Linked DNA regions of Canis lupus familiaris. The protein of the gene in region 1 purifies or fractionates together with the protein of each later gene. This does not show direct contact. Links are inferred from orthologs where the notes say so. Each region holds a gene or a part of one and is shown in the gene's direction. Other genes may lie near its edges.

Region 1 (4,434 bases):
CACATAAGGTTCTTTAAATTTTGGCTCAAACTGACCTCCCTGTGAAGCCTGGCCTGACCCCCCAGAAGTCTTCCTAGTCTATCATTGCTCTTTGTACCCACACCATTTATTTTTAATTTGCTTGCGTGTTTATTTCTCCAATAGGTTTTAGCTCCCCTGATGGAAAAAGACCAGTTTTCATCTGGTATCTCCAGCACTCACCCTGGTTCCTGGACATAAGAGAAACTAAGATTTTCAGATACGTTTGATTGACTTCAAGATCTGAGAAAGTTCCTTAAGAAATTTACTCTTGTAGTAAATCAATGATCTCCATCCCCCACTCCCAAGTTTTCCAGGTTTCTTCCCAAACCTAGCAGGTGGGCGGGGGGGGGGGGGGGAGGTGTCACTACTAACTTTCCTTACCACTTTAGATAAAGGGGACCAATTCTTCCTTTGTGCTCCCACTAAATGTGGTATATTATTCTTATCCTAGCACCAATCACGCATAAAATCGTATCCCAAGCATCCTAAGGACGCAGGAATTAAATGAATCCATATTCACCTTGATTAAGGACACTTTCTCAGACATCCTTGGAGAACGTCACCATTATGCACAGACCTTAAAAAAAAAAAAAAAACAAACATCTTTTACAATGCAAACCTGATGCCTGCTTTTAAGACGATGCATCCTCCTGGCACTTGAATTGTCCTTAGACAGATGGCCCAAAGCTTGGCTGTGGGAACCGCATATGGTGGGAGGAGACCATGACTCGAGCGCCAGGAAAAGGATGATTGGCTGCCGGGCCTCAGAAGTTCTCCGCAGACCGACGCCAGCCCTAGGAAACCGCTGAGGGTTCAGCTTTTGAAATACGGTTTTTGCATCGTAAAGAAAAAAGATGGACCTATCAGAACAACCGAGCACACCCAATTACCAATCAAGAGCGGGAAAGGAGCCAAAGCCCGGGGATACCCACGCACCGACGAGGACGTCATTCTCTAGTCTCAGCCAATGAGCGGCGGAGGGGGGCGGGGCAACGAGCGGACCAATCGCCACGAAAAACAAACCGTCTTGCAGCACAACTGCTCTAACCACAGTCCTCGCCTCTCTAACCGCCGGCGCAAACTCCTGAGCCGAGCACTTGTTACGTACTTTCCACTCTCCCTCTCGCCCGGGGGCAGTGATAGTGGAGTACCTTCCTCTACACCACAACAAGGGCCTTTTTTCCACCCGCTCCCCCACAGACTCGCAGAAAGAATTCGGCAACTTGAAGCTTCCCACCTTCACAGGAACTGGCAGTCCGGCGCTACCTGAGGGGGAGGGGCGGCCGCAGTGCGCAGGCGTGCCCGCCTCGCGGGGCGGGGCTGTGGCGGCCCAAAGCAGCCTGGGTGTTGTATTTCTTCTGCTGGCGAAACTCGGTTGCTGTTGGGGCCCTCCGGAACTACATTTCCCAGGAGCCCCCGCGACCTCGGGGTGGGCGGGATGGTTCGTTAATGAGCTCGAGGAAGCCGCGGCGCGGCCCACCAGGTTCCAAAACAAGGAAATGAAGGGGGGAGGCGGGACTGGGGCTGCCTGCGGGAGCCGCCGCCGCCGCCGCCGCCGAGGAGGAGGAGGAGGAGGTGGTGGTGGAGGAGGAGGTGGCTGCCGCGGCCGCCGAGGAGTCCCTTGCTGAAGGCGGACCGCGGGGCGGCGGGCGGCGCGCGCGCGCCCGAGAGGCGGCTGTTGGAGAAGTGGAGCGGCGGGCGCGGGGGGAGGAGGAGGAGGAGGGACTGAGCGGCGGCGGCCCCCGCGTCCCGGTGCCTCTATGGGGAAAGCAGACAATGGATTATGATTTCAAGGCGAAGCTGGCGGCGGAGCGGGAGCGGGTGGAGGATTTGTTTGAGTACGAAGGGTGCAAAGTGGGACGCGGCACCTACGGGCACGTCTACAAGGCGAGGCGGAAAGATGGGTAAGAGCAGGGGCGGGGGGAGCGGGCTCGCCCGGGTCCTCGCCCTGCCCGCGACCGCGCGGGGCGGCTGGGTCGGAGCCGGGGCGGGCCGCTCCCGGGGGGCGAGGCGGCGGGGGGCGCGGGGCCGCGCGTCCCGGCGCGGACTGGGGGGCGCGGGCGCTGCCCCCCCACCCTCCACCCTGCACCCTCCGCCCCGCGCGGCCCCGTCGCGCCCCGCGGACTCCCGCGGCGCAGCCCGGTCGGGGGGCGGCGGTCCCGTCCCCGAGGGCGCCCCCCGCGCGCCCCGGGCTGGCGGCGGGGACTCGAGGGGGCACCTCCGCGGAGGTGGAGTTGGCGGGGTCTGCTCTCGGGGGCGGGCGGGGGGCACGCGGGGCGCCGGGAGAGCTTCGTCGAGGAGTTGCCGCTCCGGCCCTGGGCCGGTGACGGTCGTGGCGGAACTTCCAATCGGCTGAGCGCCTCCCCGGGGGCGGCGGTTTGAAACCCAGCCGGGGAGCCGGCGGCGCGGCCGAGCGCTGGGGGCCCGGGCAGCCTCCCGGCTCTGGGCGCAGCCCCTGTCTACACCCGCCGACTTCGGGATCCATCCTCCCCCCGCCGATTCCGCCTTTGCACCTTGTGAATTCCGCGCCTCCCCTCCGAGGTGGGACCTCCCGGGAGACCCGCCGCGCTTTACCGGCGGAACTTCGCCTAGTTCCCTAACTCGTCCCCCCACCCCCCACCCCCCGCGACCTTGGGCATCCTGAGGTCCTCCGCACCCCGACCTGGGGCATCCTGAGGTCCTCCGCACCCCGACCTGGGGCATCCTGAGGTCCTCCCCACCCGGACCTGGGGCATCCTGAGGTCCTCCGCACCCCGACCTGGGGCATCTTGAGGTCCTCCGCACCCCGACCTGGGGCATCCTGAGGTCCTCCCCACCCGGACCTGGGGCATCCTGAGGTCCTCCGCACCCCGACCTGGGGCATCTTGAGGTCCTCCGCACCCCGACCTGGGGGCATCCTGAGGTCCTCCAGACCCGCACCTGGGGCATCCTGAGGTCCTCCACACCCCAATCTGGGGCATCCTGAGGTCCTCCCCTGCGCCCCCCTGGCCGAATGACTGCGCGCTGGGGGCTCCCGAGCACCTGGATGGGCCAGGACGGAAGGCGGGCCTGGATCTCTTGTTCTCCCGGGGAGTTGAGGGCGACCCGTGGTAACACCTCTTAGAAGCGTCCATGGATCGCCGTCTTAGGAGAAGGCGAGCTGGAGAAAGTATTGACAGCGCCTGTCCTTGGTCCTGTAGGGTAGCCGTGCGCGGGCTGCAGGGCCGGAGGCACCAGCTCCCCGCGGCGAGGAGGGTCGGGGTGAACCCTTGGCCTCCCCTCCGCCCACCCTGGCGGGGATCCTCCTCCCCCGGAGCCGGGAGCCCGGGGACGTCTCTCGAGCCCTCCCGCCTAGGTTCCCAAGGCTGTCAGAAACCACTCGGGGGAGAGAGTTTGTAGGCTCGTAACGGGACATCCCTGAGTGAAGGGAGGATCGGCCGCGGCGACGTTAGTGGGACTGGCGGCGCTGCGTCGCGTCCTGCGCACCTGCCTGTTGCCATCGCTGCAGCTGGTGTGGGGGGGCCAGGGCGGAGCAGGCGGGGCCGCGCGCCGGTGCCCGGGGAGCCCGCGGAGCCCGACCCTACACGCCGTTTCGCCCTAGAGCGTCGTGGCCTCACGAGGTGCTGCACACGTGCGGAGAGAGGATTGTGAGCCGCGTTTAGCTTTTGCCTTCTGAACTGGACGAGCCCCATGGCGTTCAGTTGTAGCTTAACTCATGGTTCTTGCAGTTACTTGCCAGGTGTCGTCCTTGAATTAATATCTTGGACTGTGAGGCACTATAATTAACTTGTATTTTGCTTCTGGAATATTAGCTCTGCTTGTTCTCCTGGTGTCCCTGTAAGGAATCTTAGCAGATATACTTGGGGAAGAGCACATCTAGTTTTCCTGGTTGGACACTGGCATTACAAAACAAATCCCACCTTGTGTGTTTTTCATACTCCTCGTGCTTACGTTGTGATACACTTGATCTGGAATTTCTAAGATGTATTTTCATTTTTGTTGTTAAAAATAGCTTCCTTTCAGTAGGTAACTTGTGAGAAAAATTGAGGATTCTGCTTTTGAATTGTATTTTTTGATAGCATGGGCCACAACCAAAAAACAGCTAAATTTAATTCCTGCTTCTCATTGTTCTTTTTTTTTTTTTAATATTTTTCCCCTCTAATAAAGTTCTTGATTCGACTACACTTTTCTTCTTGAGTGAAATTTGTTTGAGCAGAATTAATAAAGTTTCTCGAATAGAATAAGATCAGTTTGTGTATCTTCAAAATACGCTTTTTAAAGAAACTTTTAGGATCTGAAAGCATTAGTTGATATCACTGTATTGGTTATAAGAAAAGTCATTATAAAGGTAGGTTTTCTTGGGTCAAAGGTCTAGTTGAGATTTGAGGTTTTACAGTAAACACATCTCTTGTGGGTTGGTAGGATTAGTTTTAT
Region 2 (3,817 bases), on another chromosome or scaffold:
TGCCAGGGTGTGGGGTGGTTCCCGGGGCAGGGGGCCGGTCACAGTCATTGCAATAGTCAAGAGACAGAGTCCCACAGAGTGGAGGCCTACTGCTTTGAATTGGCCCCCTCTCTGCAGGCTGAGTCGAGATGTCTTGTCTGCTTTGTCCTCCAGGTCAGTGACCTGTCTTTTCATGACTCTCTGGCTACTTTTGTTGCCATCCTCATCGCTCGGCAATGTCTGCTCCTTGAGGATCTGATTCGCTGTGCTGCCATCCCTTCACTCCTTAATGCCGGTGAACCACCAGTCCGTAACCCTTAGAATTTCTGGATCCCAAGTTTGACTACACACTCCATGGCCACACCCTCACTGTTGAGTGTGGGGCTCCCCGCTATCACCAGAGGCCAGTTGTGTGATGGGCCTCGGGCCCAGAGCGGCCTCTTTCTAACGCTGTGTTGACTGCCCTGATCCTTCCCTGTTGTGACCCTCCTAAGGGACCCCCCCCCATCACACTGCAAGACAGCTGACTGCTCTGTCTCTCCTCCCCCATTATCTTGTTATTTCTCCTTTTGCCTGACTTCGCCTTCCCTTCTAGCCCCTTGCCACCCACAAACCCACGGACAGTCCACTTTTGCCCTGTCCAATTTGCTTTGTTTTCCTTTTTTTTTTTTTTTTGCAGCCTGCAGTGAGCAGGACTCTGAGCCAGGGGCCCGGCTGACCTGCCGCATCCTCCTCCACCTTTTCAAGACGCCTCAACTCAATCCTTGCCAGTCAGATGGAAGTAAGTGACCCTGATCTGGGCCTAGCCAGCAGTAGAAAGTGTGGCTGCTCCCCCCCCCCCCCGCCCCACCCACTGCCTGCACCCCACTGGATCTACTTTTGCTTCTCATGACTTGGGCTCCCTCTCCAGACAAGCCTACAGTAGGAATCCGTTCCTCCTGTGACCGCCACCTGCTGGCTGCCTCCCAGAACCGCATCGTGGATGGAGCTGTGTTTGCTGTTCTCAAGGCAGTATTTGTACTTGGTATGGGGGTAGGAAGGGAGTGGTGCCAGAAGTGTGTGTGGGGTGGAGTGCCAGCTAAACTACAAAGGAAAGTCTTTCTCCCTCCTGAAGGTGGTCTCTCTGACCTTTGGGGAGGAGAGGAGGGAGGGAAGTATATTTCTGTCCCATAGGGCAGGATTTGGGGGAGTTGCTGCTTCTGTGGGTCTGGGGTGGGTCTCTACACCGTGTTCAGATCTCACTCTGCCCTCCCTATCTCCCGCCCGTGAACCACAGGGGATGCGGAACTGAAGGGTTCAGGCTTCACTGTGACAGGAGGAACAGAAGAACTTCCAGAGGAGGAGGGAGGAGGTGGCAGTGGCGGTCGGAGGCAGGGTGGCCGCAACATCTCTGTGGAGACAGCCAGTCTGGATGTCTATGCCAAGTACGTGCTGCGCAGCATCTGCCAACAGGTCAGTCTCACCTTCCCCCCATGCATCCCAAATGCCTTTATATAATAATGTCCTGTTTCCAGCCCTGATCATGCCACCTTCCTACTATACATCACGTCTCTCATCAACCCCCAGCCCATCTCCCCCTTATTCCTTACCCCCACTCACTGTTTGCCCCAGTGCCCTGGTTATCTACTTCCTCAGGAATGGGTAGGAGAGCGTTGCCTTAAATCATTGTGTGAGGATAGCAATGACCTGCAAGACCCAGTGTTGAGTAGTGCCCAGGCCCAGCGCCTCATGCAGCTCATCTGCTACCCACATCGGTTGCTGGACAACGAGGACGGGGAAAACCCCCAGCGGCAGCGCATTAAGCGTATTCTGCAGGTAGGCCAAGGTGGTGAGGGTCTTAGAGGAAGCAGTGGGGCCCAGGCCCTGGGTGAAACAATGGGGACCCTGAGGGAAAAAGAGGGGGTTAGTCAAGTAGGAAGACTGAACAAGGATGTGGGCAAAAGGTGGTCAGAGCAACAGCCCCCATGTGGGTTTTGAAGTCAGGCCAGTGCAGTCCAGACCCTAGAGCCAACTGCTGGATGAGGGCATGGCTATCTGGGACTGTAGCTTATCAGTGAGAGGCGGCACAACATCTGCTAAGCCTTGTTTAAGGCCTTGCTTGTTTGGTGTTTGCTCACAGCTCAGTAACGAACAGCAGTAGTACTTCATAGCTCTTGATTACCAAGTGTCAGCTTCATGCCGAGTATTGTGCTCAGCACTCTATGTCCATCTTCTCATTTAATCTGTCCCAACCCCCAGAAAGTAGGTAGGAGTGGCCAAGTTTGACCAAGGAGGAAACCAAGGCTTGAAGAGTTTATTAAGTAATTAGCCCAAGGTCACACAGCTAGTTTAGAGTCAGGGTGCGAGCCCAGGTGGGCCTGTGCCCCTTCCACTTTGCCATGCTGCTTCAGGCATTCAGGTAACTGAAGGGTGGAGAAATAAAGCTGTTAAAAGAGCTACAGGAATGAGTCTCTTCAGCCCAGAGGAGATAATGTTAAAGAGAGATTAACTCACATTAGCCCTTGGGTCTGTAAAGGACTTTGAACAGCTGGTTTAAAACAGCCTGCAACTTTAACATCAAAGATTTAGGGTAAGTGCTAAGCAGAACTTACCCATGTGGAGGAATGTGAAGCTCTGGAATAGGAGACAGGGGAAAGATGGGAAATCTTTCCAGAACCGTTTTTAAAATAGGCTAGATTTTTCAACGATTTTGGATCATTTTGGTGTAGTCTTTCCTAAAGATGGGGACGTGGAAGTTCCTTTCAGACCTGTAGGCATATGTGTTTCAAGGTTGTGAGAGATCAGGAGGTGGCTTAGTCAGGGTGGGGGGTAAGTGGCTGGAAATGGAGAGGGGGGACAGGATGATGATGAGCTTAGGGGTGGCGTCTCCATCACAGAACTTGGACCAGTGGACCATGCGCCAGTCTTCCTTGGAGCTGCAGCTCATGATCAAGCAGACCCCTAACAATGTGAGTTGGCACCTGGCCCTCTCTGTCCCATGCTCACTTCCAGCTCCATGTGTCAGGGGTGTGGGCTACCATAGAAGAACCTGTGTCCTATGGAACTTCAGGTTCTTGAGCTGAGAAAGAGAGGGTGGGAAGATGGCAAACGCATGGGGCTGATGAGTAGGGGGAAATGGGTCAGGAATGTTGGGGCTCGGTGGTGTGGGGGAAGATTGGCGATGGTGGTGGTGGGAGGCAGTTTCTCTGGTCACAACTGTAAGGAGGCATGTGAGGAGAAGACAGTGGGGGAATTGGAGAAATAGGGAGGCTCTGGAGGGCAGGCTCTCAGCAGAGTTGTGTCTTTCCCTCTCATTACCTTCCAGATGCCTTTCTCCGCCCTCATCTCCCATCTTTCCTGCCGTCTGTTTTCCTTCCTATCACAGTTACCTATTGAGCACCTCTGTGCCTTTCATCCTCCCCAGGAGATGAACTCCCTCTTAGAGAACATCGCCAAGGCCACAATCGAGGTTTTCCAACAGTCAGCAGAGACAGGGTCATCTTCTGGAAGCACCACAAGCAACATGCCCAGCAGCAGCAAAACAAAGCCAGTGCTCAGGTTGGGTAGAAATGCATTCAGACCCCTCCCCTTATGACTTGTTCTCTCATAGTGTAAATGATTTCAGTCTCACAGAGATACTAGGCCTGTCCATTGGGCAGGGAGAGCATGGCTTGTTCTACCCTTGCCTGGCTCCTCTGGAACTCTGTCTACTCCCATCTGTCCTCCAGCTCTCTGGAGCGCTCTGGTGTGTGGCTGGTCGCTCCCCTCATCGCTAAGCTGCCCACCTCAGTCCAGGGGCATGTGTTAAAGGCAGCCGGAGAGGAGTTGGAGAAAGGCCAGCACCTGGGTTCCTCTTCCC
Region 3 (3,817 bases), about 9.7 Mb from region 1:
TAGAAAATATCAGAGCTAGTTCTTTGGGAGGGAAAATCAAAACAGTAGACTAAACTGCAGCTACTTGAATCAAGGAAAAGAGGGATGACACGAAAGATACAAAATTAGGAATGAGAAAAATAAATAAACCCAAATGTACCTTTGGGTTATCTCCATGGTAATAAAGTTGAAAGCTAAAACATTTAAAAAGCTCCATACCCACGTTATTTCATGGTTATATGTTTTCCCATTTTCAAGAGGATCTGCTACTGAAATCACTTCACACAGAAAAAAAGCTTTCCAGTTCTCTTTATGAAGCTACAATAACATTGATAAAATCTAGCAAAGGTAGCACTAAGAACAGTCTCCGTTTTGAATATTGATGTAAACATCATAAAGTATTAACAAGTAGAGCCTAACATCATACTAGTAATTTAAAAAAGGCAGTGATTTTGTAGAAATATAGTCGATATTAGGAAATATGTTAATAGACAGTGAAGGCATCAGAAGACGTCTATTAAAATTCAACATCTCTTCTTGACTAAAATAGGATGCTTTCTTAACATGGTAAGAGCATCAAAGCATGAATGATAAGAGATATTTAATGGTGAAACATTAGGAAAATTAGAGTGCCTGCTTAACATTGTTCTGAATTGCTACTCAATATAATTAATAGAATGAGATATAAAAAATGACAAAATTGTCATCCTATACAGATAAAATTAACCAGAAAATTCAGTTAATTGACAAATTATTATAAATAATATTTAATAAAGTGACCAGGGATCCCTGGGTGGCGCAGTGGTTTGGTGCCTGCCTTTGGCCCGGGGCGCGATCCTGGAGACCCGGGATCGAATCCCACGTCAGGCTCCCTGTCAGGCTCCCGGTGCATGGAGCCTGCTTCTCCCTCTGCCTGTGTCTCTGCCTCTCTCTCTCTCACTGTGTGCCTATCATAAGTAAATAAAAAAAATTAAAAAATAAAAAATAAAATGACCAGTTACAAAATGTAAAAAGTGGAAAGCTTTCTTTTAAATGAATGATGGAAACATAAAATACAATAACAGTGGGAAATATGAAATACACAATAAACTAAAGAAATGTGCGGGATCTATAGGAAGAAAATTTTTAAATTATGTAGTAGAAAATTTTTAAATTATGTAGTAGTAAAGATTTTAATAAATGGAGTTTGAATTCTAGTGTTGTAAAGATAGCATTTCTCCCTATATTGATGTGTAAATTTAATGCAATCCCAAACAATTTTGAATGAGTTTCCTTTTTTGGGACTTAACATACTTCTAAAGTTCAAGCCTTAGAATAATAAATGTAATAGAATATGTAGAAATTTTCTAAAGAATAGTAAGCAGCAAGGAGGGTATTTTCCATACCAGATTTCATTAATTTAATTTTTTTTCAATAATTTAATTTTATGTTTTAAAATAGCGTGGCATAGAAATAAGAAAAATTGAAAGAAAAAAGCCTTAAGTGATTGGAAAATGTAGGTGATTTTTTTTTTTTTTTAAGTCATTTTGTGTCAGGGAAGGCCTTCCCATTTGTGACAAGCATAACATCAAAGTACAATATGGGTTGGTGTTAAGTGTTCATATTTCTGTATTACAAATTAAATATTAAGAGATCATGAACTTGGGAAATGTTTTCAGTGTATTTGACAAATGATTTACTAACCATAATTTGCAAATTACATGAGAAGAATCTTTTAATCATGAAAAAGACCATCCCATTAGAAAAACTGTTGTTAGAATTACAGTGTACAAAAGAAGAACTGTATTTAGCCAATAAGGCCTGGAAAAATGTTTAACCTCAGAAGTAAACTAAAAAACAAAATCCCCTAAAACAGTAAGATACTACTTTGCCTTTAAGTTGTACAGTATTTAGAAGATTAACCGTAACCCATAGGGGGTTTAAGTATTTTAAAACACTCTCATGTACTGTTAATAGGAATGGAAATTGGTATGATGTATGGAATACAAACTGAATATGTAAAAGTTATCAGCAAAACCAACCAATCAGTTCTATTTCTAGGAAATTATTTTAAATATATTATTAACCAAATGTACAAGGGTGAAGTACAAAGATATTCATTAAAGTCTTATTTTTAATTATAAAAGATTATAAGCTACATATCTATTAATAGGAATTAACTAAATAAATAATCCATCCATAATGATGTGCAGCGATTTAAAGAGATGCTGAATAACAAATTTGTTGACATGGAAAGACTTCCAGTACATACTGAGTGACAAAGGCAAGTTGCAGAGTGGTTTTTTGGGTCATTTCAATTTCATATCTGGTTAAAAATAGTAGACTTAACTAGGCAAGTGGAGGCTATTAGTGTAATAAATTATGAAGCAGCTTTTAACATGATTGGAATTTGTGAAGTCGAAAAATTAAATACTGTAGTTACTCATGAACAACTAAGAAAAGATACTTCAAATCTAAGGTATCCTCATTTAGTGCCAAATAACTATACTATTATTTTATGTATCACTAGGAAAAAAATAAACGTGCTGCCAATTAAAAGCCTAAGGCATCACTGACTGTAAGATCTTTCTTGATATCAGAGTCTTAAAACCAATGCAAAAACAGTGTAAGGTAGTGAGAAAGAGAATGAAAAAGGCAAAATTAGAGTGGAATTTTTTCAGAGCATATTTACATTCATTAGTGAGATGATTCTCAGTTTCAAGAAATGTAGAAAATCCTGTCTTCAGAGTTTACTTCTGGCATTTTGTATTTCTTAGAATGTTCACAACTTGTTCAGTCTTAGAATGTTTTTTGTGACTTAGTTGATTTTCTGTAACGTGTCTTAACATCTTTGTTCTTGTAGTTTGCAATGGATTTTGGATAAACAAGATCTGTTGAAGGAACGCCAGAAGGATTTAAAGTTTCTCTCAGAAGAAGAGTATTGGAAATTACAAATATTTTTTACAAATGGTAAAAAAAATAAATAACTGAAATGGTATAGTTGTTTACCTCTGAATTAAAACTTTTGTATAGTGGGATCCCTGGGTGGCGCAGCGGTTTGGTGCCTGCCTTTGGCCCAGGGCGCGATCCTGGAGACCCGGGATTGAATCCCACATCCGGCTCCCGGAGCCTGGAGCCTGCTTCTCCCTCTGCCTGTGTCTCTGCCTCTCTCTCTCTCTCTCTCTCTCTCTGTGTGACTTATCATGAATAAATAAACAAAATCTTTAAAAAAAAAAAAAAAACTTTTGTATAGTAATCTATGGTGAGCTGTTTTAGTCCCTACTTAACATTTTTATTTATACATGTATTCTTTTCATAACTTATATTTATCTTTCTAAGTGATATAAAGTCTGTTGTGAATCTTACATGTCAGGGACACTCAAGACAGTTTGAAAGTGTCATTAATCTCTCTAAACCTTTATAATATGTTATTAAGTCTAATTTAAGATTGGCTAAAGCAAGTATTTTGAGGATAAATGGATTCTTTGGGTTGACCTCCTATGTTGGTCATTTTTATCTTACAAGTTTGCTTTGGAGGGAAGGGGGTTTAGACTCAGAAGATCCTTGCTCTGCCATGTAGCTTTGTTACCTGATCTTTCTAAAACCAGTTCACTTTTCTGCATACCCGCCTTTCTATTATTTTGAGAATTCATTATGGACTTTTTAATAAACTTTATAAAGTGGTAGTTGAGGTGAATTTGATAGCTGTCTAACATTTTACTTTTGCTTTTATTCTAAAGATAATATGAAAAAAAAAAAAAGAAAAACACTGAAAATACTTAGAAGATAGAGGGAAATACCTATCATTCAATCTTCTTAATATAAGAATAGTGTTTGCTTTGGGGACAGTTTCTATTTT
Region 4 (4,538 bases), on another chromosome or scaffold:
AAGACACATCAGCCAGTTACAAAGGCTTATTGGATCCTGAAGCAATTGTTATCCAAATAAGGACTTGATTTTTATGATTTTTTTTTAAGAGAGGTAAGGGGGGGGGGTGTGTGGAGCAGAGGGCAGGAGAGAGAGAATCTTAAGCAGGCTGCAGGCTGAGCACACAGCCTGACATGGGGCTGTCTCATGACCCCAAGATCAAGAACTGAGCTGAAATTGAGAATCAGAAGCTTAAACAATTGAGCCACCTAAGTGCCCTTGATTTTGATGAATTTAAATAATTACTATTTTATTTTATTTTTTTTAAAAAAGATTTTATTTATTCATGAAAGACAGAGAGACAGGCGGAGATGTAGGCAGAGAGACAAGCGGGCTCCATATCTGGAGCCTGTCGCAGGACTTGATCCCAGGACCCTGGGATCACAACTTGAACCAAAGGCAGACACGGAACCACTGAGCCACCCAGGCACCTCTACTAACTTATTTTTAAATGATATAACACCTGTATCCTTATGGGGGAAAATGAGAGTCCTATTTTGGACGTGTATATTAAAACGAAATAATGTCTAGATCTAATGGGTAGATATAGATTGAAGGTGGATAATGAGTACACTTTTTTTTTTAAAGATCTTATCTATTTGAGAGAGGAAGAGAGAGAGCAAGAGCAGTGTGAGGGGAGGGGGAGAAGCAGATTCCCTGCTGAGCAGGGAGCCCAAGTAGGGCTTGATGCCAGGACCCTGGGATCACGACCTGAGCTGAAGGCAGAGGCTTCACCCACTCAGCCACCTAGGCGCCCCTCTACTTTTGCATATACTCGGAATCTCGTTCTTTTCTAAAAAATGAAACCAAGTAATCTTATTTTAGAGGCAAAGTTGAAAACTTTTATCAGAATAACAATTTTCTTTTATGTCCAGTATGCTCTCGTCAGATTTCCACGAATTTATAAGTTTGTTACTTCTTCTGAAAATTACCTCCCAAAAACTTTGATACATTTTTTGTTACCTGGAAACATAGCTATGTTTCAATTCCTAAATGAAAATAAATATGAATGTGAAGAAATAGAAACTGAGAACGCTATGAATTCCCGATCTCGTTCATAAATATTTCCAGATTGAAAATAAATGTAATGCTATTTTGGACAGTAGGATTAGAGTCGATCTAATTTTTAAAAATCGGCTTATCTGCATTTTCTAATTTTCATGTAAGGCAAACGGATAAGTTAATCTCAGGTGTCAAAAAAAAAAAAAAGATAACAAAGGAGCGAAGCTACCAGTTGCAGCTTTTACTGATAGAAAGTACTAGCACAGACACCCCCACGCCCGAGGCCGCCGGCGACCCGACCGCCGAGGGCGCGGGGAGATACGCGCAGGCGCAGTAGCAAGGTTTTGGTTGGAGGCGGGACTAGAGCGGCGGCTAACATACAGTTCTCTCAGCCAATCAAGGGGCAGTGTCACGGGCTTCTTCCTGGAGGAGGTGGCCGGAAGTCGGCTTTCGGTTGCGGAGGCGAAGGCGGCTCCAGCGTCAAGCCTGGGCTGAGGTAAGTGGGCGGCGACGGCTTGCGGCTTCGTGCCGCGTGCGTCTCGCCTTCCGGACCCCGCGGCTCCCCCAGGGCCGGCTGGGAATGGGGGAAGCCTGGCGCGGACACGCTCCGTCACCTTCCTCTCCCACATCCCTCGGAGATGCGGCCTCGCTGCTGCTCGCGGGGAGCCGGGCGGAAGGTGCCGTCGGCGCGGCGCGCTCGGGGCTTCCTCCGTGGGGGAGCCCTGAGTTCCAGTCCCGCGCCGCGGGTGTGCTGAGCCGGGCGGACGTGGCGGGCCTCGGCCCCCGGGCCTTGCCCGCGCTCGTCGGGGATGGAGCCTGAGGTCGGCCGCGGTAGTGCGGGGTGCAGGAGGCCGCGATCCCAAGCCTGGTGGCCACGTCGAGGGGGAGGTGTTCGGGGGCGGGGCGGGACCCTGGAATGCCTTCCTGTCGGCTGAGCCCCACGGAAGGGGGGTCTGGGGTCCGGTCACCGGCCGTGACGCTTGGCGCCGGTTTCAGTGGAGACACCGCCTCGGAAGAGTTGGCCCCAGAGAAGCGGTGGAGGAATGAGCAGAATCGGTGCGACTCGTCAGGTTGCTTCCGTGGGCGAGCCTGCCCTGGGCCGCGGAAAGGAGCCGGGATGAGGAGCGTTGCCGTGGACTCGCTAGCCCCGACGCGGCGCAGGCGGCCCCTCCGAGACGCGGAGTCTTCCTCTCGCGAAGGAAGCTGACAGGCGTGTGAGGAAGACCGAGAGGCTTTTTTTTTTTTTTTAATTTTTTTTTTTTTTAAAGATTTTATTTATTTATTCATGAGAGACCCAGGCAGACGGAGAAGCAGGCTCCTTGCAGACGTGGGACTCGATCTCGGATCCCCGGATCCCGCCCTGAGCCACCCAGGCGTCCGCCGAGAGGCTTTAAAACGTGCCAGTCACGTGGGACTGGGAACCTGCACGTTGAATAGAGGAGTGCTTGTGGCTTGTGGCGTGGGGAGGCGCGGAACCGGGCGCCCAACTAAAAATGCTTGAGTGAGGCAGAGCCTGGGCTGTCTCTTACAGTCGCTTTTGAAGTAACCAGATCAATGCTAATTCTCTGATTTTGGTAGTAATCACATATAAACACTGTTTATCACCCCCACCTCCACCCCCCACTCCCCGCAAGCAGTTTTACCCCTTTTACTCGAGGGCCGCCTTATATTACAGAGAAATATTTTATCCACTCCTCATATTGATGAAGTCATGGATGATTTCCGGCTTTTCCTACTCTTTTCAAACCTCGCTGCATTAAACACCCTTGGTGCACATTTTTATGCACTTGTGACGTAGGACAGATGTTAGGGTTTGAAACCAACAGCCAAGAAAGAGTTCTTGAGACGTCTGTGGTGCAAAAAAGTGGTCTTTATAGAAGCATGAGAGGGCAAGACCCTTGGACAGAAAGAGCTGCCCTGGGAGAGTGCGACCTCTGCTGGCATCCAGCGCCTGTCGCATGGAAGGTGTTCTAATATTTGTTGAATGATGGAGTATTTGAAATCTCGATAGTCCGTTAGATGAAAAGTATTCTTTTTAAAACTTTGCTTTTAGAAGTATATTAGTCTGAATAATTTTCTGCTTTTATTCAGCATTTGCATTTCCCTTGTCTTTTTTTTTTTTTTTTTAAGATTTTATTTACTTGAGAGAGAGGGAGCTAGCCCAGCGTGGGGAAAGGCAGAGGGAGAAGGGAGAAGCAGATTCCCTGCTAAGCTGGGAGCCGGATGCGGGCTCAATCCCAGGACCCTGAGATCAGGACCTGAATCCATGACTTGAGCCAAAGGCAGAAGCTTAACCGACTGAACCACCCGAGCCCTCCTCCTTGTCCTCTTTTGTCTATTATTCTGTTTTAAAAAACGGAGGTTAAAAAAAAAAAAAAAACTCAATCAGTGGGCCTTTATTGAGGATCTTTTAGGTGTTGAGGTGCTGGAGATGGAGTTGTGTATTCGGCAGTTCCTGAAGTCCTAGTGCCCTCCTTCCGGTGGGAGTGGAGTCAGAAAATAAATTTTTGAAAAGTCAAAATAAAATTTCCAATATTTGCTCTGTTAGCTTGCAGGCATTTTTCTCCCAAAAGAATGGGATTGTCTTTTAATTTTGCTTATGATAATTTTCCTGTGTGGAATTTTTAGACTTATTTTTGGTAGAACTGTTGGCCTTCTGTAGGAGCCTTAAAACTTGGTAGTTATTTTTGTGTTTTTTTTGTTAGGTTGTAAGTGGCACTAAGATGGAAGCAATGTTTTTTTGTTTATCCTTGATAATGTAGAGTAGTGTTTAAGATACTATGGTTCTGAATCCTTCCTCTACTACTTAATCTGTGACTTTATGCAAGTGGTTCAACCTGAATGCTTTATGAGCCATCCAGGAGATCAGGCAGTTTGGATTAGAGCTAGAAAGTACAGAGTCATAAACACAGAACAGGGCTTCTCCACTTTGGCACAATATTTTGACATTTGGGGCTGGGATAATTCCTTTTTGGGGGCTGTCATACGCATTGTAAGTGTTCGGCAGCATCCCTAGCCTCTACCAGTTAGATGCCAGTAACACCCCATCCCCCAGTTGTGACAAGTAAAAATATCTCCAGACCTTGCCCTATGTTTCCTGGTGGGCAAAATTGCCCTTGGTTGAGAATGACTGGTAGAAATGGTGTTAAAAGCCAGGGAATTAACTAATAATCACCCAAGGGAGAATATAAAACAGAAGTCTAAAACTATTGGCCCACAGACCACAAAGATTGTAGATAAGTTCTTTTTGACCTCACAAGACTTGACCATTTCTAGAACTAATTACCAGTATTTAAAAATTGAGAGATTCTGCATGAAATCTGGATTTTTGCCCTCTTTTAAGAAATAAACTGGGGAGCAATGAGTCTTCATTCCCATATGAAAGCTAATGGCTGGAGACTTTGAGATTTGGCATGCTTATTCATCTGGATCATTGTCCCAGAGTGCTTCACTGTTTATGTTACCTGCAGTTTTGGCACTTGAATTTCTGATTCCCT
Region 5 (3,294 bases), on another chromosome or scaffold:
TCTGGAATTGGGGAGCTACTTCCAAGTAGTGCCAAATAAACCTGAGGCCTCTGTGCCCAAGGCAAAGACCTTTCTCCTCCAATATCTATCTTGAGGAAAAAGTGTGTTCTTTTGTGATTTTTGTCTGTTTTGGTATTTTATTAAAATGTAGCAAAGAGAAACTTGCCTCTAGGTCTGGTAGAAATAGAGGTGTGAGCAGATAGAAATGAAGCAGGGAGTAAGAGCAACAGTGTTCTAGGAAGCCAGATACTGTAAGTGTCAGGCTGTGTTTTCCCCAAAAATGTACCATTTGCCAGTGGAAGGAGCTGTGTAGCAAGCCAGATTGAATTGTCTTGGATTGCATGGGAGGATCAGTAACATCTGTGTGTTACAGCGGCAGACTGAAGGACGAGTGCCTGTTTTCAGCCACGAGGTGGTCCCTGACCACCTGAGAACCAAGCCTGACCCTGAGGTCGAAGAGCAAGAGAAGCAGCTCACAACAGATGCTGCTCGCATCGGTGCCGACGCAGCTCAGGTTGGACCAAGTCACTGCCCTGCTGCTCCCCCCTCCCCTGGGGCCCTTCATGAGAAGCTGGGCAGTACTGTTGGTGTCTGGTAGGGGTGCGCAGTTGATTATATAAAAGTTGCCCCTGGAAGAGCACAAGGAACAGCCCTCATCACAAGTATTTCCTGTCTGCTCTGATCTCTGCACAAATGTATGTGTGTTACAGAAGCAGATCCAGAGCTTGAATAAAATGTGCTCAAACCTTCTGGAGAAAATCAGCAAAGAGGAACGGGAATCTGAGAGTGGAGGTATGGAAGGATTGGTGGCAAAAATGGAAGAGGGAAAGGAGGAGAAGATGACTGGACTAAGACTGGTGGTTTGGGTGGTGGTGAAGTGAGGATAGAAGACAACTGCTTAGGAGAGGGATGTGTCCATTCTGTTTGCCGTTTATACTGAAGGCCAGCCCTGGAGCAGGCAGAGGAAAGGGGCAAAATGAGAAGGGATAATTCTGAGATAGTTGTGGGGGTCTCTTGGGGTCTCTTTCTCTGGGCTGCTGGTGAGTGTGGATGCTGCTGAAGCCCTGAGGCTCCTGGGGCTGGTCTTCCTGCTGCCAGGTTTAGTCCAGGGTCAGAGGCGCATCGCAAGCTCCTCACTTCCCCTTTTTCTTCAGGTCTCCGGCCAAACAAGCAGACCTTTAACCCCGCAGACACCAATGCCTTAGTAGCAGCTGTGGCCTTTGGGAAGGGGCTGTCTAATTGGAGGCCTTCCGGTAGTAGTGGTCCTGGCCAGCCCGGCCAGCCAGGAGCTGGGCCGATCCTTGCTGGAGCCTCAGGATTACAGCAAGTACAGATGGCAGGAGCTCCGAGCCAACAGCAACCACTGCTCAGTGGGGTGCAGATGGCCCAGGCAGGTCAAACAGGTAAGGTGGCGGAGGATGACATGGTAGCAGACTCAAAGCAAGGAAATAGGGATAAGCTGGATTGTCTGGGCCCCCAGTATCCCAGAGTTGGAGATTTTCTCCTATCCTCCTTGGACTGTGACCCAGAAATCAATTTTTAAGAGTAAAAAAACTCTTTTGAGACTCTGTAGCAGGTACCAGCGAAAGGAAGAACTTCGAGCAGCAGGAACTGCACCTCCCAGCCCCATCTTAGAGCTCTGTGTCAACTACCTTCTTGTCCCATTTACTCTGGACACTGAGTGTGCTGTTGGGGTCTTAGACCAGTGGGTGGGCCTCAGTTAAGACCACTCAGTAGGGATGCTGGGATTGAAAGACAAGCAAGTTATGTGTACTCTTTTCTTTGTATTCAATCTCTCTGATCTACTGTTAATAGTTATGAGAACAGTCTGGAGGAGTTCAGATGTGCGTAGCTAGAAGAGGTGTTTTGTGTTTTGTTTTGGTTTTTTTGTTTTTATCCAAAGCCCTCCAGGAAATGGAGCAGTTACAGTAAGAGAGAACAGTCTTTCGCCTGTGACAGTAAATGGGGTCTAGCTGTCTTTTCCGGAAGTAGCTGAGCACGAGACTTGCTGGGGTGTGTTCTGACCCCTCCTACTATCAGTCCTTTTTTTCCAGATACCTTCCGGGAGAGGGCTGGTCAGGACCCACACCTCTAATCTTTGCTACCCGGGGTCAGAGGCCACAGAGGTTCTGAGCTGAAAGAGCGAAAGGGTGGCAGAAGGGAGCCTGGGAGACCACCTCTCTGATTTATCATGAAAGTCTTAAGGTGCTTCAGGTGTCTTTCTTCATATTCCTTTTAGGGAAAATGCCAAGTGGAATAAAAACCAACATCAAGTCTGCTTCAATGCATCCCTACCAGCGGTGAGTGTGGCCGGCAACTTTTCCCAAAGCTGGACTAGATGGGTACAATAAAGAGAACATGGGCTTTCAGCGCCAGACAGGTTCCAGCTGCACCACAGACGAGCTGAGTGACCTTGGGCAAGTGACCTGATTTTTCCGAGCCTGTTTTCTTTGTAAATGGTGATACCTACCTCATAGGGTTGTTGTGAGGACTGAAATGAGAAAATGAATGTAAAACAGTACAGCCTATGAAATAATGAGCATTCAATAAATGATAGTTTCTACAGCCACTTCTCCCACTGCCCTCCTCAGTCCTGGATCCAGAACCCAGCGGGATCTGATACTCCTTCGTGTCAGCGGTGAGCTGACGGACACAAGATCATGGACCACTCTGTTCTGTTTGGAAGCCTGTCCATATTTTATGGTGCCGGAAACTGTCACAGCCTGTGTATGTCTTTAGAGGCATGTCGGCTCCACAGGCCCCCCCTGCCCAGGTTCCATCAGGGCCATCTCTCCAGGCTGCCGGCAACGGGGCTTCTGGGCTGGGTCAGAGGGTCCACCCACAGCTCTGGTGAAGCGTGGGCCTGCCCTCCCCTCTCCTTCACCCTATCTTATACACATCCAAGAAGATGCTGAAGGTCTAGTAGGTGTGGGGTTCCCAGGAAGTGGCTCTACCAGGTAGGACTGTGTGAGAAAGGGGCTTTGTTAGCACATGAAGCCCCTTCTCCCTGGACTCATTTTTCTTATTTTAGAGGGAGAGGGGAATCACGCTTCACACCGTCTTTCTTCTGGGTTTCATTGCTCTCATAATAGCTCCTGGTTCCTGGACTCGGGCCAGGATGGCTTTCCTCCAGTCCACTAAAACTGTGGCTCAAATGAGAGAGCCAGATTGCTGGTGGGTGGGGACAGCCCTCAGGACCTCTGCATGCTTTACATAAAGCTGAAGAGCAGAGTGAGTTGGGTCTGCAACCTAATCCCCCTTTCTTGGTGCTCCTTTGCAGGCAGGGGCAGGGTT
Region 6 (4,580 bases), on another chromosome or scaffold:
CCTCCTTCTTTTCTTCCCTTCCTTTCTTCTTTCCTTTCTTCCCCGCTGTCTCTCTCTCTCTCTCTCCTCTCCAAAATTTTCAGGGAAAATGTTTGAACTCTTACACTGAAGTGTAATCCAATAAAGAACTGAGTGTTTTATAGGGAAGGGAACAGAACGTTTTAGTTGGTTTCCATTTCTTACCATTCATTCGTTTGCAAATTTACAAATATCAGGCGTCCACTGTGTGCTAGGAACCTTTTTTTAAGCACTAGGGATACAGCCGTAAGCAAAACAAAGTTCTGGTTCTCACGGAGGTTACGGTGGTGGCACTTTACATACACTGGTTCAACTCCTCACAATAATCTTATGAGGTCACGATGACAACAATAATAGGTAACTGTTAGCAATGGGTGTCTGTGCCAGACACTGGGCTACCTGGTTTATTTGTGTTAACTCCATTGTCACAGCATCCCTATGAGATAGGGTTATGTTTCCCCCTTTTAACAAATGAGGAAACTGAGACCCCAAGAACTGACTGGCTCAAGGCTTGAACCCAAGGAAGCGTGGCTCTCACTCCCAGGTTATTCACTACGAGGCTATACTGTTTCTCATACATTTCTTTCTTTCTTGATATCACAACTTTTTAAGTGTCCAAGTTGTATCGCAGATCGTCTGACTCCCAAGCCCGGGGGGTTTGCAAGTGAGAATGCCCGGGAATTTTTGCAACACTTTCTTTTCCGACGAAATCAAACTGTTTTCCACGTAATTCTCAGATCGGTGATGCGAACCCTCTTGCGCTGTAGATTCCCCCCCCCCGCAAGGAGAAAGCTAGGGCCTGGGCCCGGGGTCATCTTACAGTGGCCGAGGCACCCAGCAGATGGCGCTGTCTTAGTAGCCGCCAGCTGGCCGTCCGGTCCCCAGGGCTCACCGCCTCCGCCGAAAGCTTCCCGGCCCTCTCTCACTCCCTTCTCTCTCCTCCTCCCCACGGAGCCCGGGCCCACGTGACCTCAAGGCGGCCAATGGGCGAGCAGAGAGGGCGAGCTGGTCCCTGTGGCCGCCATTAAAGCGAAGGGAAAACCCGTGAATTCGGATTAAAGGGGGAAAAACGCCGCCCGCTGGGCCCACAAAATGGGGGAGACTACGGCGTCCGGGCGGTGAGGCCGCAGTAGAGCAGACGTTAGGCCGGCCTGGCCCAGGGACGACACGAAGACACAGCCAGAGAATGGTCTGAGCCCGCAGACGCCGCCACCACCTCCGCCGCCGAGGAGATTCTGGGCTTAAGGACATCGCCGCCGCCGGGCCGGGGGCCTGGGCTTCTCTCCCGGCTCTTGCCCTTCCTGCCCCTCCACGGGCGCCTCCCCGCCCGGGAGCACCCTCCACGGCTCGGGCTCTGCCCTCTCGGACTCGATTTTAATTATTTATTGTGTAATTTATTGGTTTTTTTTTTTTTTTCTTCTTGTGGAAGGAGCACATATCTCCTCTGTGCCCCCGAGAGGGGCAAGCGTCCGCGGGCTCCGCGGCGGCCGCAGTCCGGCCCGCGGGGCGAGCGCGGCGCGGCCCTCCCGCCGGCCCTGGGCCCCGGGCGGCTAGGTGCCGGCCGGGCGGCGGGGGCTGCTCGCGGCGGCGGGGGGGTGGGCGGGGAGGGCGGGCGGCCCGGCGGCCTCCTCTTCCACCGCTCCCCCAGCCGCCACCCCCCCGCCCTCCCCGGTGTCTGTGTTTCTCTCTCTGGTCGGAGGCGGCGGTAATGGCGGATGGTGGGTTGTGGCGCCGGCGGCGGCTGCTGTGAGGGACGATGAGTTCCTCCTTCGTGCCGAACGGGGCCAGCCTGGAAGATTGTCACTGTAACCTCTTCTGCCTGGTGAGTGAGGGGCCGCGGGCGGGGGCCGCGGCGTGCGGGGCGGTGGGGGAGGGGGCCGCGAGGTGCGCCCTTGGGCCGTGGGGGAGGGGGTCCGGGTCTGATCCAGATGCCCGAGTCCCCGGGCTAGGCCCAGCCGGAGCCGGCGCCGCGGCCGAGCCCCGCGGCCGAGCCCCGCGCCAGCCCCGGGAAACGCGTTCGCTCAGCCCCATCCTGAGCTCTGCTTTAGGACTGCTGGCTTTTTTTTTTTTTTTTCTTTCCTTGTCCCCCGTTTCCGACTCTTCCTCAACCGTAGTCTTGTCTTCAACTTGTGCTCCTTATCTGGCAGGATACTCCCATTTCCCGGTGTGTCTTGCTTATTAACTATTGCTTTTCTCCTTATTGACTATGTATCTCTTCTTAACACTTTACATTATTGCTCATTCTCCCAGTGCCTTTATGCCACACTCTGGTCATTCGTTCCCCCCCCCGCCCCCCCCCCCCCCAAACAGGACACCGGAACTTATGTACTAAAAAAAAAAAATCTCTTTTCGTTTTACGTTTTCTGATGAGTCAAACTAACAGAAGATTAGTTTCTCCCTTCGATGAGTTCAGATCTCTCTGTAAAAACCAGTAGATACCATTTCATGTTTTGTCTTTGAACTTTGAAAACAGTTTGCCATTTTGACAATTTTTAGCCGTCTTGCTTTTAATAGAACATTATGTTTGTGTGAGAGTGAAATGGGACTAGTGGAGGAGGTTCTATGGTTTTGCACTAATTTTTGTTGCTGTTATTTGTTTTACTTGCATTTTTAGATTGGTTTGAGCAGGCTGCTTCTCATTATATTGAAAAGTCTAGGGAAGCTGGATGCAGGACTGACAATTGTATAGGTTGGCCCAGTTCTGGTAACATCCACAGTTAAGACTTTTTGAAAACTACCAACTGTTGCAAATATTTAGCCCTCAGTTGGACAGTAGCTTAGCTTCGTCCACGATTTAAAGTTTCAGTGACTGACTTTTTTCATTTTTTGTGTGCTAGGAGAAATACTAAGAGTATGTGATAGGTAAGTGAACCGAGTGGGCGGAGCACAACTAGTTGGCAAGTGTAAACTGCCAGTCATGTATCAGCAGTTTCATTTTTGGCACCTTATGCTTTGCACCTCTAAGTTAAAGAATTACTAAATTCTCCCTGTCGAATTTTTTCACGGTGCCAAATTGTTTTTTTTTTAATGCCCTTTCCTCTTATAAAATGTTTTCTTGTACAATGCCCGTTAATCAACATCTCTTCGGGTGCAATAAAACATAACATCAGGTTTTACATTTCTGTTTTCTCTGACTCCGTCTATTTTTGGTACTTTTAGGATCAGGTTCTTTGAAAATAGACTAGTACAAATCTGACAGTTCTTTGTGCGCATTTTCTATTTCACTTTGCCTAAAAGGGATATGTGAACACTTTTTTCAACTATAGTTCTCATTTCATTGGAGCCATCAATTTATAAACATGGAATCATAAGTCTTTAAAAATTTTCTGTTACAGTGTGACACCAGGGAACAAACGTGACCAGTTGGAACAGAACTTAGAGGAAATGTTTACTGAGTGTGCAGTATTAAAGTACATGTTTATATTAAACATTTTTAAGTCTTTTATTTTTCTTAGGGACATCTATTTATTGCTACTCAGTGACATGTCAGTGTTAATATTTTCACGGTTTTAGTTCCTTTCCTTAAATTTTGGGTTGTTGAATTATCTAAGAATCATTTTTTTGGTCAGTCTGCTTTAATATCTTCAGTATATATTGAAAAATTGTAATGTCTTAATGAAATAAAGGGCTTTAAGAGTGAGTACTATTGACTTTGAGTGAATGTGCTGTAATACTCATGCTTTCTTTTCTTCAGGCTGACTTGACGGGAATTAAATGGAAAAGATATGTATGGCAAGGCCCAACTTCTGCCCCTATTCTGTTTCCGGTGACAGAGGAAGACCCCATTTTGAGCAGTTTTAGTCGCTGCCTTAAGGCAGATGTACTTGGTGTTTGGCGGCGAGATCAAAGACCTGGAAGAAGAGAATTGTGGATATTTTGGTGGGGTGAAGACCCCAATTTTGCTGATCTTATTCACCATGACTTGTCAGGTGAAGGCAACTTATTTTTAACCAATGATATATAGCAACGTTGTATACTTTTCCTAAAAATCATTTATATTACAAATTAAGATTTTTTTCTTGTGTGTGAAACACTGTTAGATGTGAAGCCAGATAAAAAAGTTAGCTTACTGTTATGTTTCAGTGTGGTTATTTTATTTTACTTAAATTATCCATATTATGGCAGGCTTTAGCCTTGAATAACTTTTTCTTTAACCACCCAGCATCCTTGTGTATTTTCTTGCGAACGGGGCACAAGGAAGGCATGTTACCTAAGAAAAATGGAATGAGGGAGAAGTAATTTGCAGGCATGTGTAATTCACCATTTGAGTCCATTCTGCCACTGCTCTCTTCTGTATCAATATGCAGACATTTGGTAGGAGTTTCTAGAAATGTTGTAACTTTCTTATGTATTTTTTTCAAGGTGTATATTTTGTTGTTAGTTGTGGTTATTACCATATGAAAGCATATGTTAATTTTGTTATTCTTGGACAGTGATTCTTTTAGTGTTCTTTCAAAGACTGTCACTAAAATGAGACTAGTGCCAACTCATTTATAGGACATTGGGATCATAATCTAAAAAGTTACACAGAAATAATTTTATTGTGAACCTATCAATAAGAC
Region 7 (2,568 bases), on another chromosome or scaffold:
TTCCTGAGGGTAATAGGAAACCATTGAAATTTTTGACCTGAGGAGTACTGCTTCTAAAAATATCTGGAGAATATGGGTGCCATGTATTGAAATAGAGAAGACATAAATGAGGTGGAGAAAATTTGGAGTTTAAAAAAATGAATGCATGAAATTAACTAACTAGGAGGAAGTTGGAAACCTAAGACTAGTTTTTAGGAGAGGAGTGTTAGGAGACTGGGGTGAGACATTTAGAAATCATCTTCATAGAACTGGTAGTCAAAACAGGATGTTGGATGGGCTCATAAAGTGTTTAGGAAAAGCAGGATAACTAGAATGGCAGGAGGCAGTGTCTGTTTAGGAGGAGCCAGTACCGTGGCACTGAGTCTTCTGCCACCACAGTACACGGTGCTTCTGGAACGTTTGGCATGAGAAAGGAAAAAGAGAAGGATAGAGCAAGGCCTTAGGGTACGGAGGGAAAATACCTTGCTCTCTTAACAATTACTGAGCACCAAAGATGTGTATTGCATGGGGCACCAGCAATACATGTGTGAACAAGACAAACATTGTCTCGGCCCCCAAGGGACTCACGTCAGAACCTGGGTTTTTCCAAGTGAATGATTATGAACAAGCCACTTTTGTCATTTGCATTCTTCGTGTTCATCATAACTGTAGATGAAATTGTGGGCTAGCTAGCTCCACCCTTTGCCACTAGGTCCTTATTAGATTACTAACAAACTTCCATTCTTTGAAAAAAGTCAGCCATGCAGTATTTATACTGATAGTACCTTGCACTTATAGAATACTTTATAATTTTCAATGTTTTCATTTGAACCTTGAAAAAAAAAATTAGCGTGCTCAAGATAGCTGTTACTCCACTGCAGAGATAAGGGGAAACTATGGCATTAACTTTGAGGCAAAAAGCATCATATTTGGTATTATTAGTAATAGAGACAGTGGTAACAAATTAGTCAGCAGTAGCTAAAAATCCTGTTCCTTATGTGAAGATAATTAGTGTTTCTTGCTAGCGCAAAAAAAAAAAAAAAAAAAAAAAGTCCTTAATCAGATGCTCAAGGCTTTGTCCTTTTTGGCCCTTACCTTGCTCGGTAGCTAAGCTCTGAGGTAAGATCCTGCTGTGCCAGAGAGTATAATTTCTCACTGGTAGATTATATGAAAAGCACCCAGAACAGTGTTTAGCACAGTAATTACATCACGTAAGTTATTATTGCGAGGAGTCCAAGTTGGGGAAGAGTGTCTTCTTTGGGGTGAGTTTCCATCTGTGCTCTATTTGGATGTTTGCCGATTTTTCTCCTTGTTCCGACTATTACCATTCTTTGGTTTATGTTTTCAGCGTCTATTATGTTATTTAGTTTTGCTGTTTCTTACTTTAAAAACTAAATTTAATTCTTTATAATTCTCACTACTCTTGGGACTAGTATCTTTTTGTTCTCCGTGCCCTCTAGGTAGCACTGAGCTGACAGGCAGCACCAATCTGATCACACACTACAACCTGGAACATTCCTATAATAAATTTTGTGGGAAGAAGGTGAAGGAGAAACTCAGTAACTTCCTGCCGGACCTGCCAGGAATGATTGATCTGCCTGGTTCCCACGATAACAGCAGCCTCCGTTCTCTCATCGAGAAACCCCCTATTCTTGGTGGCTCTTTTAATCCCATCACAGGGACCATGCTGGCTGGTTTTCGCCTCCACACTGGCCCGGTGAGTCCCCTCTTGGAGAGGCCTGAAAGGCGTGGAGATGGTTTCTCTCTCCAAGTCTGTTCCTCCATAACTTACTGAGCAGAACAGATGATGGGAGCAGAGCATTTTGTCCCTCCACTCACCTGGAACTTCCTTTGGTTCCTTCAGTTACCAGAGCAGTGTCGCCTGATGCATATTCAGCCGCCCAAGAAGAAGAATAAGCACAAGCACAAACAGAGCCGTACCCAGGATCCTGTTCCCCCAGGTAAGCAGCAGTTCTATTCAAAGACAGAAAACCTGGACCTTGTTGGACCATCTGTTTTTAAAAACCCAGTTAGGTTCCTTACAGAGCCCCAGACTTCCCAAGTTCTCCTGATACTGGTATAAGGATAATTAGTGTTTCCTTCAAGTAGAAAGCTGGAACAGTGCCTTAGCAGTGCCTCCCTTATCATTTCTGGCCATTAGAGGAGCAGGTGCCCTTGACTAGGTTTTCCTGTGGTCTTCAGTTCCTAGCTGTAGGGAATTTTGAGTTCTACAGGTGATCGGCACACACTGTTTCCTACAGAAACACCATCTGATTCTGATCACAAGAAGAAGAAAAAGAAAAAAGAGGAGGATCCTGAACGGAAAAGGAAGAAGAAAGAGAAGAAGAAAAAGAAGGTAGGTTAGGGCTGTGCTGCTGCAACCCAGAGCCTCCCCGTCTCACCCTGTCTTTGAAGGTCCTTTGCCTCAGGTGGGACCCAGGATTAAAACCCAGGGCATGTTGCAGCTTTTTCCTGCACCTCCTGATGGAAGCCAAGGCTACTTCCTAGTTGTTCTCTTAGCCCTCCTCCCTTGTCTTCCCCAGAACCGACACAGTCCAGACCACCCAGGCGTGGGCGGCTCTCAGGCCA

What was found.
Region 2: the proteins of CDK19 (region 1) and MED12 purify together in Homo sapiens (affinity purification with mass spectrometry; 10 studies listed by BioGRID and IntAct, counting the BioPlex papers as one, with this or other methods). This does not show direct contact. The link is inferred for Canis lupus familiaris from reciprocal best matches to the Homo sapiens genes CDK19 and MED12.
Region 3: the proteins of CDK19 (region 1) and CCNC purify together in Homo sapiens (affinity purification with mass spectrometry; 8 studies listed by BioGRID and IntAct, counting the BioPlex papers as one, with this or other methods). This does not show direct contact. The link is inferred for Canis lupus familiaris from reciprocal best matches to the Homo sapiens genes CDK19 and CCNC.
Region 4: the proteins of CDK19 (region 1) and MED7 purify together in Homo sapiens (affinity purification with mass spectrometry; 5 studies listed by BioGRID and IntAct, counting the BioPlex papers as one, with this or other methods). This does not show direct contact. The link is inferred for Canis lupus familiaris from reciprocal best matches to the Homo sapiens genes CDK19 and MED7.
Region 5: the proteins of CDK19 (region 1) and MED8 purify together in Homo sapiens (affinity purification with mass spectrometry; 6 studies listed by BioGRID and IntAct, counting the BioPlex papers as one, with this or other methods). This does not show direct contact. The link is inferred for Canis lupus familiaris from reciprocal best matches to the Homo sapiens genes CDK19 and MED8.
Region 6: the proteins of CDK19 (region 1) and MED13 purify together in Homo sapiens (affinity purification with mass spectrometry; 6 studies listed by BioGRID and IntAct, counting the BioPlex papers as one, with this or other methods). This does not show direct contact. The link is inferred for Canis lupus familiaris from reciprocal best matches to the Homo sapiens genes CDK19 and MED13.
Region 7: the proteins of CDK19 (region 1) and MED19 purify together in Homo sapiens (affinity purification with mass spectrometry; 7 studies listed by BioGRID and IntAct, counting the BioPlex papers as one, with this or other methods). This does not show direct contact. The link is inferred for Canis lupus familiaris from reciprocal best matches to the Homo sapiens genes CDK19 and MED19.

Annotation. Positions count from the first base shown.
Region 1 is NC_049233.1:67,739,060-67,743,493, reverse strand, and holds the start of CDK19 (cyclin-dependent kinase 19), read left to right. Parts: upstream 1-1,613; 5' UTR 1,614-1,797; coding exon 1,798-1,925; intron 1,926-2,393; exon of another isoform or gene 2,394-2,562; intron 2,563-4,434.
Region 2 is NC_049260.1:55,693,205-55,697,021, forward strand, and holds part of MED12 (mediator of RNA polymerase II transcription subunit 12), read left to right. Parts: intron 1-153; coding exon 154-274; intron 275-658; coding exon 659-760; intron 761-889; coding exon 890-1,003; intron 1,004-1,255; coding exon 1,256-1,431; intron 1,432-1,614; coding exon 1,615-1,794; intron 1,795-2,855; coding exon 2,856-2,927; intron 2,928-3,382; coding exon 3,383-3,516; intron 3,517-3,686; coding exon 3,687-3,817. UniProt on the Homo sapiens protein: Component of the Mediator complex, a coactivator involved in the regulated transcription of nearly all RNA polymerase II-dependent genes.
Region 3 is NC_049233.1:58,029,354-58,033,170, reverse strand, and holds part of CCNC (cyclin-C), read left to right. Parts: intron 1-2,821; coding exon 2,822-2,928; intron 2,929-3,817. UniProt on the Homo sapiens protein: Component of the Mediator complex, a coactivator involved in regulated gene transcription of nearly all RNA polymerase II-dependent genes.
Region 4 is NC_049225.1:53,884,055-53,888,592, forward strand, and holds the start of MED7 (mediator of RNA polymerase II transcription subunit 7), read left to right. Parts: upstream 1-1,470; 5' UTR 1,471-1,537; intron 1,538-4,538. UniProt on the Homo sapiens protein: Component of the Mediator complex, a coactivator involved in the regulated transcription of nearly all RNA polymerase II-dependent genes.
Region 5 is NC_049236.1:16,885,309-16,888,602, forward strand, and holds the end of MED8 (mediator of RNA polymerase II transcription subunit 8), read left to right. Parts: intron 1-373; coding exon 374-514; intron 515-710; coding exon 711-792; intron 793-1,154; coding exon 1,155-1,403; intron 1,404-2,239; coding exon 2,240-2,304; 3' UTR 2,305-2,569; downstream 2,570-3,294. UniProt on the Homo sapiens protein: Component of the Mediator complex, a coactivator involved in the regulated transcription of nearly all RNA polymerase II-dependent genes.
Region 6 is NC_049230.1:34,602,789-34,607,368, forward strand, and holds the start of MED13 (mediator of RNA polymerase II transcription subunit 13), read left to right. Parts: upstream 1-1,685; 5' UTR 1,686-1,774; coding exon 1,775-1,840; intron 1,841-3,712; coding exon 3,713-3,947; intron 3,948-4,580. UniProt on the Homo sapiens protein: Component of the Mediator complex, a coactivator involved in the regulated transcription of nearly all RNA polymerase II-dependent genes.
Region 7 is NC_049239.1:38,962,183-38,964,750, forward strand, and holds part of MED19 (mediator of RNA polymerase II transcription subunit 19), read left to right. Parts: intron 1-1,439; coding exon 1,440-1,696; intron 1,697-1,843; coding exon 1,844-1,940; intron 1,941-2,213; coding exon 2,214-2,335; intron 2,336-2,522; coding exon 2,523-2,568. UniProt on the Homo sapiens protein: Component of the Mediator complex, a coactivator involved in the regulated transcription of nearly all RNA polymerase II-dependent genes.